Caenorhabditis elegans: one gene and its partners. The protein of the gene in region 2 purifies or fractionates together with the protein of the main gene of each other region. This does not show direct contact. Each region holds a gene or a part of one and is shown on either strand. Other genes may lie near its edges.

What was found.
Region 1: the proteins of cox-5A (region 2) and cox-6C purify together in Caenorhabditis elegans (affinity purification with mass spectrometry, with the first as the bait; one large-scale study listed by BioGRID). This does not show direct contact.
Region 3: the proteins of cox-5A (region 2) and lpd-5 fractionate together in Caenorhabditis elegans (co-fractionation; one large-scale study listed by BioGRID). This does not show direct contact.
Region 4: the proteins of cox-5A (region 2) and mrpl-49 fractionate together in Caenorhabditis elegans (co-fractionation; one large-scale study listed by BioGRID). This does not show direct contact.

Annotation. Positions count from the first base shown.
Region 1 is NC_003282.8:125,006-128,173, forward strand, and holds cox-6C (Mitochondrial cytochrome c oxidase subunit VIc/VIIs domain-containing protein), read left to right. Parts: upstream 1-1,725; 5' UTR 1,726-1,726; coding exon 1,727-1,875; intron 1,876-2,385; coding exon 2,386-2,509; 3' UTR 2,510-2,635; downstream 2,636-3,168. Other genes in the region: grld-1 (RRM domain-containing protein), read right to left, coding at 640-769, 854-918.
Region 2 is NC_003281.10:12,903,896-12,907,233, forward strand, and holds cox-5A (Cytochrome c oxidase subunit 5A, mitochondrial), read left to right. Parts: upstream 1-1,595; 5' UTR 1,596-1,600; coding exon 1,601-1,727; intron 1,728-1,864; coding exon 1,865-1,930; intron 1,931-2,037; coding exon 2,038-2,216; intron 2,217-2,357; coding exon 2,358-2,510; 3' UTR 2,511-2,724; downstream 2,725-3,338. UniProt on the Caenorhabditis elegans protein: Component of the cytochrome c oxidase, the last enzyme in the mitochondrial electron transport chain which drives oxidative phosphorylation.
Region 3 is NC_003279.8:4,371,746-4,374,992, reverse strand, and holds lpd-5 (NADH dehydrogenase [ubiquinone] iron-sulfur protein 4, mitochondrial), read left to right. Parts: upstream 1-1,974; coding exon 1,975-2,124; intron 2,125-2,226; coding exon 2,227-2,423; intron 2,424-2,469; coding exon 2,470-2,653; 3' UTR 2,654-2,738; downstream 2,739-3,247. Other genes in the region: cec-10 (Chromo domain-containing protein), read right to left, coding at 557-742, 789-1,130, 1,180-1,329; ZK973.9 (SS18 N-terminal domain-containing protein), read left to right, coding at 2,882-2,977.
Region 4 is NC_003283.11:12,726,745-12,729,917, forward strand, and holds mrpl-49 (Large ribosomal subunit protein mL49), read left to right. Parts: upstream 1-1,886; coding exon 1,887-2,013; intron 2,014-2,057; coding exon 2,058-2,192; intron 2,193-2,233; coding exon 2,234-2,388; intron 2,389-2,437; coding exon 2,438-2,584; 3' UTR 2,585-2,673; downstream 2,674-3,173. Other genes in the region: R11D1.13 (DUF148 domain-containing protein), read left to right, coding at 468-605, 648-758, 801-839; rpl-28 (Large ribosomal subunit protein eL28), read right to left, coding at 937-1,115, 1,162-1,363; zfyv-19 (FYVE-type domain-containing protein), read left to right, coding at 2,777-2,836, 2,881-3,027, 3,085-3,173.

The DNA of each region.
Region 1 (3,168 bases), on a different chromosome or scaffold from region 2:
TCTGGATTTTTGGTTGAGGCTTTCTGGATTTTTAGTTGAGGCTCTCTGGATTTTTGGTTGAGGCTCTCAGGATTTTTGGTTGAGGCTTTCTGGATTTTTGGGTGAGGCTCTCTGGATTTTTGGTTGAGGCTCAGGATTTTTGGTTGAGGCTTTCTGGTTTTTTGGTTGAGGCTCTCTGGATTTTTGGTTGAGGCTCTCAGGATTTTTGGTTGAGGCTTTCTGGATTTTTGGGTGAGGCTCTCTGGATTTTTGGTTGAGGCTCAGGATTTTTGGTTGAGGCTTTCTGGATTTTTGGTTGAGGCTCTCTGGATTTTTGGTTGAGGCTCTCAGGATTTTTGGTTGAGGCTTTCTGGATTTTTGGGTGAGGCTCTCTGGATTTTTGGTTGAGGCTCAGGATTTTTGGTTGAGGCTTTCTAGATTTTTGGGGCTTAGGATTTTTATATATATTTTTTGGACTTTTGAAGAATTTATTAACTTTTTAGCAACATTTATAGAAATCTAAGAAAAATGATTGCTTTTTTAATCGATTTTCGAAATATTAAAATCAAAAATTGGTTCAATTTCAGGAACATTTAGGAATTTCAGATTTCAATTTTCAAGTTATTTTTACAAAAAAAGTCGATTTTTTGCTGCTTTTACCTCAAACGGAGCATATTTCTTGAGCTCTTGTGTCAGATATTGCTTGATTTGTTCCCGTTCCAGACGGTCATCGAAGCCGGAAATTCGAAGATTCAGGTAGACTTCTGGTGAGTGGCTTCCGAAGCGTTCCCTGAACAAAATAGAGAAAATTATGATTTTTTTATTGGTTTTTTGTGATTTTTTTCGGCAATTTTTTCTTCAAAAAGCTCCTTACCGATAATAACTGGAAAGTCCGTTGCAATTCGGTCGGTATTGAGGTCTACCGCGTTCTTCTGCCATTTTTCGCTGAAGAAATTCGAATTTAATTCGTTTTCGAGAAGAATCGGCATTTTTAGTTAAATTTCTTAGTGATTCAGGTGTAGAATGAAACGAATAAAAGAAGCAATAATAAGACACAGAAAAAGTAGAGAGTAAGCTAGAAATAAGATTGACTAAACACTGAGTTTTTGCTGAAAAAGCCGATTTTTCTCAAAATTACAGCTGGAATAGAACAGACAGTACAATAGAAATAGAGTTTTAATATGAATTTTAATATTAAAGAATCTGAAAATATATTTAAACACCAGAAATTTGTGTAAATCGATGAATTTGTAGAGCTCGTGAGCTAATCAATTATTTGCCAGCGATGTGTGCATTCTGACGTGACGGTGTACGTTCGCGGTGGTTGCGTACTTTAAATTGTTGACCGTACTCGGTACTCGGCGATGCACTGCGCATTCTAGGAAATCGATTTTCTTCTATTTTTTGATTTTTAAATCGAAATTTCTAAAATAATTCATGGTTTTCTGTCAATTTCAGATTTAAAATTGACAATTTTCAATTAAAATATCAAATTTCATTCTAAAAATCCACTAGAAACGAGGCTCCACGATTCCGGCGCTCTCTGTTTATTTTGCACGTTTCCAAAGGGCGCTTCGAGCTTTTCCCAGTGTTTTATTGAATTTTATGTGTTCTCGTCCCATTTTCTCAGTTAAATCATGCATTAAAATTATGAAACTGCATTGATTACCTCTTTTTTCCCGGAAAAATCGTATTTCGTTAATTAAAAAAAGTCGATAAGGCTCAATTAAATAAATCTATTTTCAGGATGGTTGCCGCTTCTGCCACCCGTAACATGCTCCATCAATATGGCCGTCGCGCCATCGGCATCTCGTTGATCGCCTCCGTCGGCGCCACCGCCGCCTTCTTCTTCGGATACGTTCAGCCAAGACACGAGAAATACGAACGCTTCTTCGCGTATGTATTTTCAACTTTTTCATAAAATGTTGGTTGAAATTAACCGCGAAATTAGTGAAAAGAGCGAATGTTTGACATCCAGAATTCGTAAAAAATATGGAATTCAGTATAAATTTGCGATCCGTGGTGCCAAAATCGAAGAAAATCGCTAATTTTTCCGGATTTTCACTTTAACAAGTCTCGAAATCAGTTTTTTTATTGGGAAATTTATCGTTTTTGCTGATATTTCACTCAGGATGACCACTAGAAGCTTGTGAACCTCTGACACGATTTTTTGTCGATTTACGGAGCTCAATTTTATACTAAATTTTAGCTACATTTCGTCTAATTTTGCCTGATACTGGTCCAAAATGGAGAATTTCAGTTCTAATAGGAAACAAAAAATTAAAATACACACTTTTCCTCAAGGAGTACACGAGCAATTGACAAAAAATTAAAAAAAAAACAATTTACGTTCAAAATCGTGAATTTTATGTCATTTTCCCCCTGAAAATTCAATTTTTCTTTCAGCAACTACGATCCATACACCAGAATGAAGGAGATCTGTGCCGCGAACAAGGGATACATGCACACATGCCCACAGGAGCTCGCCAAGCTCTACGAGGAGAAGGGCAAGACTGTTGCCGATTTGTAGACGCCCACGCCTCGAATCTTGTGTGTGTTCTTGTACTATTTTGTTAGTCAATTTCTTATTCTCTTCGAAATGTTGCGATATTCTTAAATAGCTTGGTTTGTTCCGAATAAAAATGTTCGTAATCCGTTTCTTCGATGAGAGCCGAGGTCTCGGTTTCTCTGCACTCTCCCCTGACAACTACAGACTCTAATTGGCACGCCGGACACCTTTTTTCTCGTCTACCATGTGTTCTGCTGCTTTTGCAAAAATATATGGATTTCTTGAGCATTTAATCGCCGAGAAATCGATTTCCCCGTGGATTTTCACGATTTTGTGTCTGCGGAAACAATTTCCCTGGAGTTTGAATTTCGTGGAGCCAGATTCGCAAAAATTTTTAGTATCTAGCTTTTTGAACAAAGTTTTATGATAATTTAGGGTCTCGCCACGCTGATTACGCATCAGAATACTAAAAATTTGAATATAAAAAATTTCGGTGAATTCGAATCCACGTGAGCTATTTTCCAGGGTTTTTGATTCCACGGATATGAATTCCTGAAGATTTTCGTTTTTTGTGGTTTTTCAGCTGATTTTTTAGAAAATTTAAGATCTCGGTAAGAAAAATATTCCGCTGAAAAAAACGTCAAAAAATATAGAAAACTCGCAAAGCCGGATGGAAGCGA
Region 2 (3,338 bases):
CGGAAAACAAAGCAAGATAAATGGCCGCTGAAACTTGTCGGCCCCTCGGCCATGACCTAGAAACCACTTTTCCTCGTCCCTCGTGAGGAAAAAGTTGCAGTGACATTCTCAAAGTAAACGACAAGCTTCCATGTGCAAAGGAATAAGTATCAGAAAATAGTAAAAGTGATCCGGAAAAAAGGTGTAACTTGGCTCATTGAGCCCCAGAAGTCATTGACCTGGAAGCACATTTGCGCGCCTTTGCACCCTCCAGACACTTTGTGGTTAGTGTGTGTGTGGCGGCATTGGGCTGTCAGACAGAGAGCAGTGAAACTCATAAATCTGGCCGTCTCCTAAACGATTAATTGCCTCCTCCTCCTCCTCCCTCCGGTACCCCATTTCATTGTTATGCTTTTGACCGTTTGCCGCCCGCTGTCAGCTCAAAATTCATGGATTAGAGTGGAATTTGCAACATGACAATGTTGAAATAACTGTTGGGAAACTCGAGAAATGCCATCTGGTTGTGATTTGGAGCGAAATTTCTTTGGAAAATGTGCTTTAAAACATGCCTAGCAGGGCTGGGACATGGTTTTTTGGTAGAAATTGACGGAAAATTGAATTTTGGGGTTTTTAAGACCAAGAAAACTAAAAATGTTTTTCAAAAAAGCTGTTTTAGTTATTATGACGGAAAAACAATCGAAAATTTGTCGTTTTTTTTTCGGGGAAAGTTGATTTTTTAGAAAATTCGATTTTTTTAGAAAATTCGATTTTTTTTGAAAAATTCGACTTTTTTCTCGGTTTCTTGGAGAAATTATTTCTTTTCTTTTTTTTTTGAATAAATTCGATTTTTTTTCGGTTTTTTGGAGAAATTCGACTTTTTTGCCGAATAAACTGCCAAAAAGCTGGAAATAAAGGGATTTTAGATAAAAATACGGGATTTTTACACTTTAAACCGTCATCAGTACGAAATTCGGTAGTTTTGGGCCATTTTCAGTATGAAAAGCCCCCTTAAACTAAATTTCACAAATTCAGGCTTGAAAGATCTGAATTACACCCTGGAAACAACTAAAATGCGCACAAAATGGAAATCTTTGAGGAAAAGGATCAAAAACTGGAATTCCGCCTACAAATGGGAAGACACATGAAAAAACTAGTAGAATATAGTGTAAAAATCAATATTAACGTGCAGAAACAAGCGAAAAACATTTTAAAACAATTTAAAACCATTTAAAACAAAAATTAATTAAAATTTGAAACTCGTGCCGAAATTTAAACGCTTCACCTCTCAAAACACGCTTTTACCGTAGTCCGATCAACAGAGCGGCCGACAAGTGACGCATAAGTGTACGAAACACGCTCCTCAACGCACTCCTCGCCCGTCTCTCGTAAATCGATAGAAGCAACGTTTTTGAGCATTTTTTCAGGGAGCATGTTGATTTTTTTGATATTTTTTGTCTTAAATTGATGAAATTTCAATTAAGCTGCAAAATGAAACTAATTTTTTGAGATTCTGACGAGATTTCGATTTTTTAGAGCTGAAAAATGCTTTTTCATGGTTTTGTTGATTTAAATTGTTCCTTTTGCGATTTTCTCATCTTAAAGCTCATTGTTTTCAGGTAACATGGCCTCGTTGACCCGAGCTGTAACCCGACTGGCCATCGCCGGCCGCCAAGCCGTCCGGACCATCGCCACCACCACCCCAGTCTCCGGACACGGTGACGACATCATGGAGAAGTGGCCCGCTGATAGTGAGTTTTTTTTTTTGAGTAGGAGTATTTGATATTTTCCCAAAAACCGGCAGTATGAGAAAATAGCTAAACAAATACTACGTGCTAAACACCACATTTTAAAAAATGCTTTCAAAAGTTCAATTTTTTGATTTTAGAGTTCGACAATCACTTCATCAACTACCTCAATCGCCCAGAAATCGACGGATGGGAGGTCAGAAAGGGTATGTTCTCGAAAGCACTGCAGAAAAAATTGATTTTTCCCTTAAAAATGGATTTTTCCGGAAAAAAAATGCACCAGCTTTCCGTAGATCAATTTTCTAGCTTTCAGCTCTCTCCGAGTTGCATGACTACGACGTTATCCCAGACCCAAAGGTCGTCGAAGCTGCCCTTCGTGCGTGCCGCCGTGTCAACGACTTTGCTTTGGCTGTTCGTTTCCTTGAGGCTATCAAGATCAAGTGCGGAGCCCAGAAGAACCGTGATACCGTCTACGCCTACATTGTTAAGCAGGTTCGGCCCCAAAATTCTAATTCTTACAAGCTGCGGCTGCTAGCCGCCAGCTCATTCTAGTCACATCTTCAGAATCTTTAATTATCAGCGAATTTTGAAGTGTTTTTCACTGGGAAAAAAACACGTAGTTTCTTTTTCCAGGTCGAGCCAGTGCTCAAGGAGCTCGGAATCGACACACCGGAACAACTCGGATACGGAGAGCCAGAATTCTTCGTGCCAGAGCCGGAATATTGGTGGGAGAAGAAGTGGTACAAGGACTACGGATACGACAAACACCCAAATATCCAAATTTAAATTTTCCATTCTGCAAATTTAGTGGCTCAGTCTGTTTATTTGATTTTTAGAATGTGGATATGATAATGTCACCGCGAGATAACGATAAACGTTTGGATCTGACTGTTTTTCAGAGCCCCTTTAATGTTCAACTTCCCCCTTAAATTCATAATTTTAATTTCTTCTTTTTCTCCATTTACATCTCTTCTAAATTTTGAATAGAATTTTGATGGATATGGATCGGTTGAATGCTGATGCGGGGGCTTCTCATTTTCGAAACCCAATTTTTTATTAGGACATTTATTCGATTAGTCATTTTTCAGGAGCCGTCGGAAACGTCAGAAGTGATTAGAAATGCATGAAGGCTTCGATTTCGGCTCTCCCGGAGCTCAATATTTTCAGGGTACCTCACATCCAATTTCCAAGTCATCCTGCAATTTATTCGGACATATTGACGCAGCCGGACGGACCATCGATGAATTATTAATATTCCATATGGATAACGATGTCATCAGGAGATGACGATTACTTTTTCTGACTTTTCCCAACTTTTTTGTGGACATCTTTTCGTACTCGCTGGAGCACAACGGACACTTTTTGAAACATTTTTTTTGCCTTTTCTTGGATGATTGATGTAATACAGTAGGACGACATGTACTTGAAAGAAAAAATCCCATTTTTCCTGAAGGATTTATAGTTTTTACTAAATTTTTTTTTTCGGTTGCCCGGCAACATTTTGCCAATTTTCAAGTGGTCCCCCGCAGGTTTTTATTCGAATTTCAAGTGTAGCGCCCACCACATGACGTCTGAAAATTCGAGAAGGAAGTGTCATTGGAATGGAAAATGTAG
Region 3 (3,247 bases), on a different chromosome or scaffold from region 2:
TTTTGCAACTCTCAGGCACGATTTTTCCTAAATTTATTCGCTATTTCCACTACAAAAGCGCGGAAAAAAGAACCGATACCCGTAATAGAAAGCTTTTCGTTGAGATTTATCCAAAAAAAAAGTGAAAGGAATCAGGCTCGATGGAGCGGAGCACGAGGGTTTTCTAATCAGGCCTGTGTTATAATTAAAAGCGCGAATGACAAACGAAAGAGAATGAATATGATGCATAATCCGCCCGAAAAGTATGAAAAGTGGCGGGTTGCAGATTATGATCAAATATTATTACTTTGATCTACAAACGTTAAAGATTGTAAAATTAATGAAATACTCGTTTTTAATTTTTAAACCTAGAAATTTTCGGTAAATTCGACAAAAAAATTAGAAAAAAACTAATTTCTACTGTAGTAAATATTTTTTCTGGAGAAGAGAAGAAATATAATTTTTCCTCTCCCAATTCGTGAAGATTTTGATATTTTATTCTGGGAATTGGGCTTTTTTTTTTCAATAATTTGACGTTTAAAACTCGCTATAGGGGGTTGTTTTCAATTTTTCACACCTCGGCCTCTTTCTTCTTTCCCCCACGCGGTTTCTTTTGCTTCTTCTCTTTTTCAACTGGAACTGGAGACCGGTTTCTGACCGATGGCGATGAATCGGCGCTACTCATCTCTATAGTACGACGAATATCTCGAGTTTTACTACGAGACACACGGCCTTCGATTCCAACGCCATAGGTTTTTAGGAACTGAAAAACGATTTTGGTTTTAGAAAATTTAAGAACAATTTCGTACTTTTTCAGATGGATCTTGCAATCTATTCGGATCAGCCAGCCTTTTGGCTTCTCCTTGCGCAGATTCATCCGGCTTCTCGTATATATCATCGTCAATATCTTTTGTAATCCATGTTTGCTGCTTCTTCGGTCTCCCTTTCTTATTTGCTACAGTTGCCTTATTAGTGACATCTTCAAATCGTTTAGGATGCTCTGTTTGGAATCTTTGTATCTCCAAATTTTCATATCCACCATGAAAATTTTCTATAGGCTCCCAAGATGTCGATTTATCAGCTTGCCATAAAACGAGAAACTCGACTCTTTTCAATTTTCCATTGTACCGCATTTCTTGTACTTTTTCGACCTGAAAAAAAGTTGAATGTATTTCTGTTTCAGTCAAATTGCAGTATTACCACCCAGTGATCCTCGTCTATTTCTTCTTCTTCTTCATCTTCTTCGTCTTCCTCACCTCCTTGTTCATCTTCTTCTGATTCTTCCAATGTTTGAACCGAGCTTTCCTCTTCAGTGTCTACGTTGACTTGGGTCTCGCTGGAGCTTGACATTCTGAAAACTAAAACAAGTGTTGTGAAAGCGGTAATTTAAGAGTGGTTACAAGTGTAAAAACTGACAATTTTCATGAAGTTTATTATCCAAGAACATTAAAAGGTGGTTGAGGTCAGAAGAACAGCTCACAAGAGAATTAGAAAGGATATTACAACGGGAGACAAAGGGTGAAGAATGTACTTAGACTGTAAGGCAATCATTGTGATAAATATTAAAAGTGACATGAGTCACAAGAAGGGAATGGTATGTGTTCTCGTACAAGCACTAGCTGTCAAAAAAATCAAAACACAATGGGGTCTCGTGAATTATGAGAAATTCTATTAGGAAATACTTTTAAATTGATTAATTAAATGTAAAAGAACAATCTGTATGGTTTAAATTGAATTATAGTTTTATTGAATTATAGTTTTAGACCTAAAATTATGAACGAATTAAAAAATGAATTCAGCTCAAAAAACATCTGATTTACGATAAACAACACGCGGTACCGTTATACCGGAGTGTCGTTGAAAACGCGAACATTTTTTTTATTTTCATATTTTTTCCTCTCAATTTATTGATTTTAATTAAATATTCTTTTCTATTTTTTCTAATCCGTCACAGTATTGTAATTTTAAATTATTTATTAATGGAGTAATTTACAGATGCTTCGTGCTGGAGCCTCTCGTTGCCTTTCGGCGGGAAACACGGCTTTCCGTTGCCTCTCGACTGGAAAGGACAACCTACCGGTCACAAGATCGCATGATGCCAAAAAGGTTGAGCTCAACGATATTCTTGACAAACCGTCTCAAAAAGTAAGATTTAAATGTTGATTTTTCCTGTTTTAATACACGAAATTCAGCGAATTGCACTTAAATTGTTTATACTTGACATTTTTATTGAAATAAATATTTCAGACTCCAGTAAAAGTATCATCCGATGAGACAATGGATATCGGAGGTGTTCCACTTGATCACCAAGATGCCCGTACCGCTCGCATCTTCCGTCCAGCAAGAGAGACTACACAAAGTGCTTGGGGTAATACCAAGTCCTGGACCATTGAGCTGGATAATCGTCAAAGATGGGAAAATCCATTGATGGGATGGTCTGGAACGTGAGTAGCATCTTAATGAAGTTTAAAGTTTAAAAAAAAAATTTAGTGCGGATCCACTCTCCAATGTTGGAATGGATCTCAAGTTTGCCACAAAAGAGGACGCTATCGCTTTCTGTGAAAAGAATCGCTGGGAGTTTGACGTCGAGGAGCCACATGAGCGCAAGATTAAGCCAAAGAATTACGGACAAAACTTCTCATGGAACAGAAGAACCAGAATTGGAACTAAGTAAATTTCTATTAAAAGACGAAGTAAACTGAACCGCTTCTATTTAGATTTTGTTTTTTTTTGTGTAGAAAATGAAGATTTATCTCGATATTGTACTGAAAACTATTATTGTATTGGTTTCTTGTTGGTTTCAAAAATATCCAACTTGTATTTTTTTAAAATTTGATTTCCCTGTTTATTTTCTATATTTCTTATAAATCACCAGATGTCAACGGCACATCTACCTCCAGCGATGCGAACAAATGTTCCAGATCAACAGTCAACTGTGCAGAAGTTACTCGATGAAAACTCAAGGCTGATCGATATTATACAGGAATATTTAAATCAGGTTTGTTTGTTTTTTTTTGCAAAAAAGGAGTACCTTAAAATACTCACTATTCCCAAATGCCGAAATACCACAAAAGAAAATCGTAAAAATTGCTAAGTATGAAAAAAAAGATGATTTTGGCGATTTTTCAACTGTTCCTCATTTGAATTACCGCACTATGGTCTATAAATACCGTCCATAGAACCGTGTCGCACTTTTCAATTTTGGCACAAATTTATCTTTTTTGTGTTGTTTTTCTAATTTTTAATAAAGAAATACGTCATAAATGTG
Region 4 (3,173 bases), on a different chromosome or scaffold from region 2:
AAGAAAACAAGAAAAATCGATGGATTTCAGTGCAAATTAATACAGTAATCTTAAAGGCAGATATTCAAAGCTTTTTAAATCAGTTCACCGCTCGTGTCGAGACCATTACTCTTTAAACTCTTCAAAATCGTAGAAGAGGAAAATAATGGAAAATAACTTCGTTCTTCCAAAAGCAAGTGAATGTGCTTTTCAAAATCTGAACATTTCTAAATACAAAGTTTTGGAAGTGTACTTTTTTACAACCATAATTATATTATAACAAACAGTAATTTTCAGTCAGACACCATTTTCATATTTCTCGATGCTGAAAAATTTGCAACAACTTAGGATAATCCCAAAGAACCGATCCAAATGAGAAAAAATACCATGCCCTATAACCGGTTTCAACTGAACCTAAAATGTCGTGATCGACCTTTCGTCGAATGCATGCCCATTCAACGTTGAGCCGATTTGAGTGCTATTTCAACATGAAATTTTTGATTCTGTCCTTTCTTCTCGTATCAATTTGCTCTGGAGGTGGTGGATTCCCGATTCAAATGTTGACAAAATGTGGAATTTCAAAAGAAACCATTGATGGCGTTCAAAGTGTAATCGACGAACATTCGGTATTTTTAAAACGACTTCTTAGATATTGAAAAATTTTTCAGGCAATGATTAAAATTGCTAACTCGAACAAGCGTGCCAAAAAAACCGAAATCGATTCTTTGAAGGCAGATATTGATTTATATTTAGATGAACATGCATCTGACGACGACAAGGTAGGATTTCTAATCTAAATTTTACATATTTATTTTTTCCAGAAAAGATGGATTGAGTGCTTCACAAAGAACAACTCCTAATTGTCTTGATTTTTCACTTTTTTTTTGAATAAAAAATTTTAACGTGTTGATAAGCTGTAACACTTTATATTCATAACAACAACGTAACAAACGTCATTTATGCGTCAGTCTTTTGGACCTTAGCCTTCTTCACTTGGGAGCGGACGATGGCGGCGGCACGACGTTGAGCGAGCTTGTTGAACTTGTTGAATCCGGCGTTCTTGGCCAAGCGACGGACTGAAGCAACTGGGGTCTTGCTCAAGGTGGAGGTGGTGACGGCCTTGGCTGGTCTTCCCTCTGAGAAAAAACAGTGTAAAAAATAAATTTTTAAAAAATCTCTTACTCTCGTTCTTGGTAGATACAACGACTCCCTTGGCGGCGGCGCTGACGTCGATGGCGTGCTTGTTAGCGAGTCCACTGTATTTTGGGCTGTTCACCTTCTTGAGGTTGAACTTCTCAGTGGAGAATCGCTTTCCGATTCCGCGCTGGGTTCTGAGGAAAGCGCTGTTGTTGCGGATGACTTGCCACACGAGAGCGTCGGACATTTTACCTGGAAATAAATTATTTTATGATGAAAGTTAAATACAATAAGATACAACGGGAAACGTAAGAAAAATTCAATAAAATCAATTGTACACGTAGGTTTTCAAGCAAATTTAAGAATACAATTTTACAAAGTCCTAAATGTCATTTTTCCTGCTCAAACTTTTGACTGAAATGCATAAAAATTCGCTGATAAAAACAAGCAGAATACGCCAAAATAGTTGCAAATTATAAAATTTACAGAATTAATACAAAAAATTCGATATTTTACTCAAAAAAATGGAAAAAAAGAAGAAAAATAAATTAAACTTTCGTTGAGCTGGCCTAAAATCTAATAGCAAGCGCGCTCCATTGCCAAACGGTGTAAACGCGGAGCCTCGTTTGCGTGTAGTTTTTATCGTAAATCGACACAACTTCTTTCAAAATAAATTATTTCTTATGAGTAATTTTCTGCATTCTATTGTTGTGTTTCAATTAATCTTATTTTTAATTTGATTTTATTCAAAATTATATAATTTTATTAAGATGCTGGGTTCTTCTCTCCGCATTTTCTCCCCTCGAGCAGTTTCCAGGTTGTCTTTTTCAACAACTTCAGTCGAAAAAGCTGAGAAACTTTGGGAAAATCCATGGAAACATGCTCTCCCTGAAAAGTGTAAGTTATTTATTATCATATAATTTTTCTACTAGCAATTACAGCCAGAAGTCTTGCAACGGTCGAAGAAGCTCCTATCGATTGGTCGTATGTGGAAAGATTGATGCCAATAGAAGTGGTGCCGAATGTTCCTGAGCACGAAAAGTATCCTACACCAAGCGGATGGACACCACCGACAGGTATATACAGATTAAATTCATACCGCATCGAAATATTTCAGAAGCAGCCAAGACACATCAATACTACATTCGACGTCGTCATGACCATCTTCTTCCTCTTTATTTGGAACGAAAAAGGGATTTACTGAATGAGAAAACGTTGGATTTTGATTATGTCGAGCTAGTAACTATCAGAAACGTCGACGGAGACATTTTTGTAAGTTGGGAACATTATTAAATCCTGAATCAACATAAATATCTTTCAGGCTTGCGAAAATGATCTCCGCTCCTATCTTGAAGAACATCTTGGACATTCGATCGCCAGTCACGTCGATGAGTTGAAAGGTCGTATCAAAATTAAAGGAGCTCCACGTGTTCTTATTGAGCAATTCTTCTACAGCAAAGGATTCTAGATGTATTCTTGATATATCTTTTAGTTTTTTATCTAGGCAGATTTGTTTTGTTGTGAATTTATTGTTGGAGAATGAACTAGAAAAATTCAATTGTCTACTTTATCATTTTTACCTTCAAACCGGTTATTTCACCGTCATTTCCTTATTCTCTTCATTTTGTATCATTGCGAAATGCCGAAATTCTTCTCTAGAATGCCTTCCTCAATTTGTTGCACAAACTGCAGAACTAAATATTCATTATTAAACAGAGAAGTTATTTTCTGGCATCAAAAACTAATTAATTTCTATTTTTTCAGGCCGGCTGCTCGAATTGTGCTCTCTCCTTCTGTAAGAAATGTCTGCCTCATCGTGCAATTATTCCCACACTTTCGGATTTACCAATGATTGTCTGTAACAATTGCTATCAAAAATTGGAATCTGCCAAAATGAAGCCCAGCGCGACTGTAAGAAAAAGAACAAAGTAAAAACTAAATAGATATTAATCCCACGATTTTTTTCAGATAACATCAACGCCTCTACCAGATAATTCGAATAAATCGAATAAAAATTGGTGGGGTGATGGACTTCCACCGCCATCATTCAGGAATTC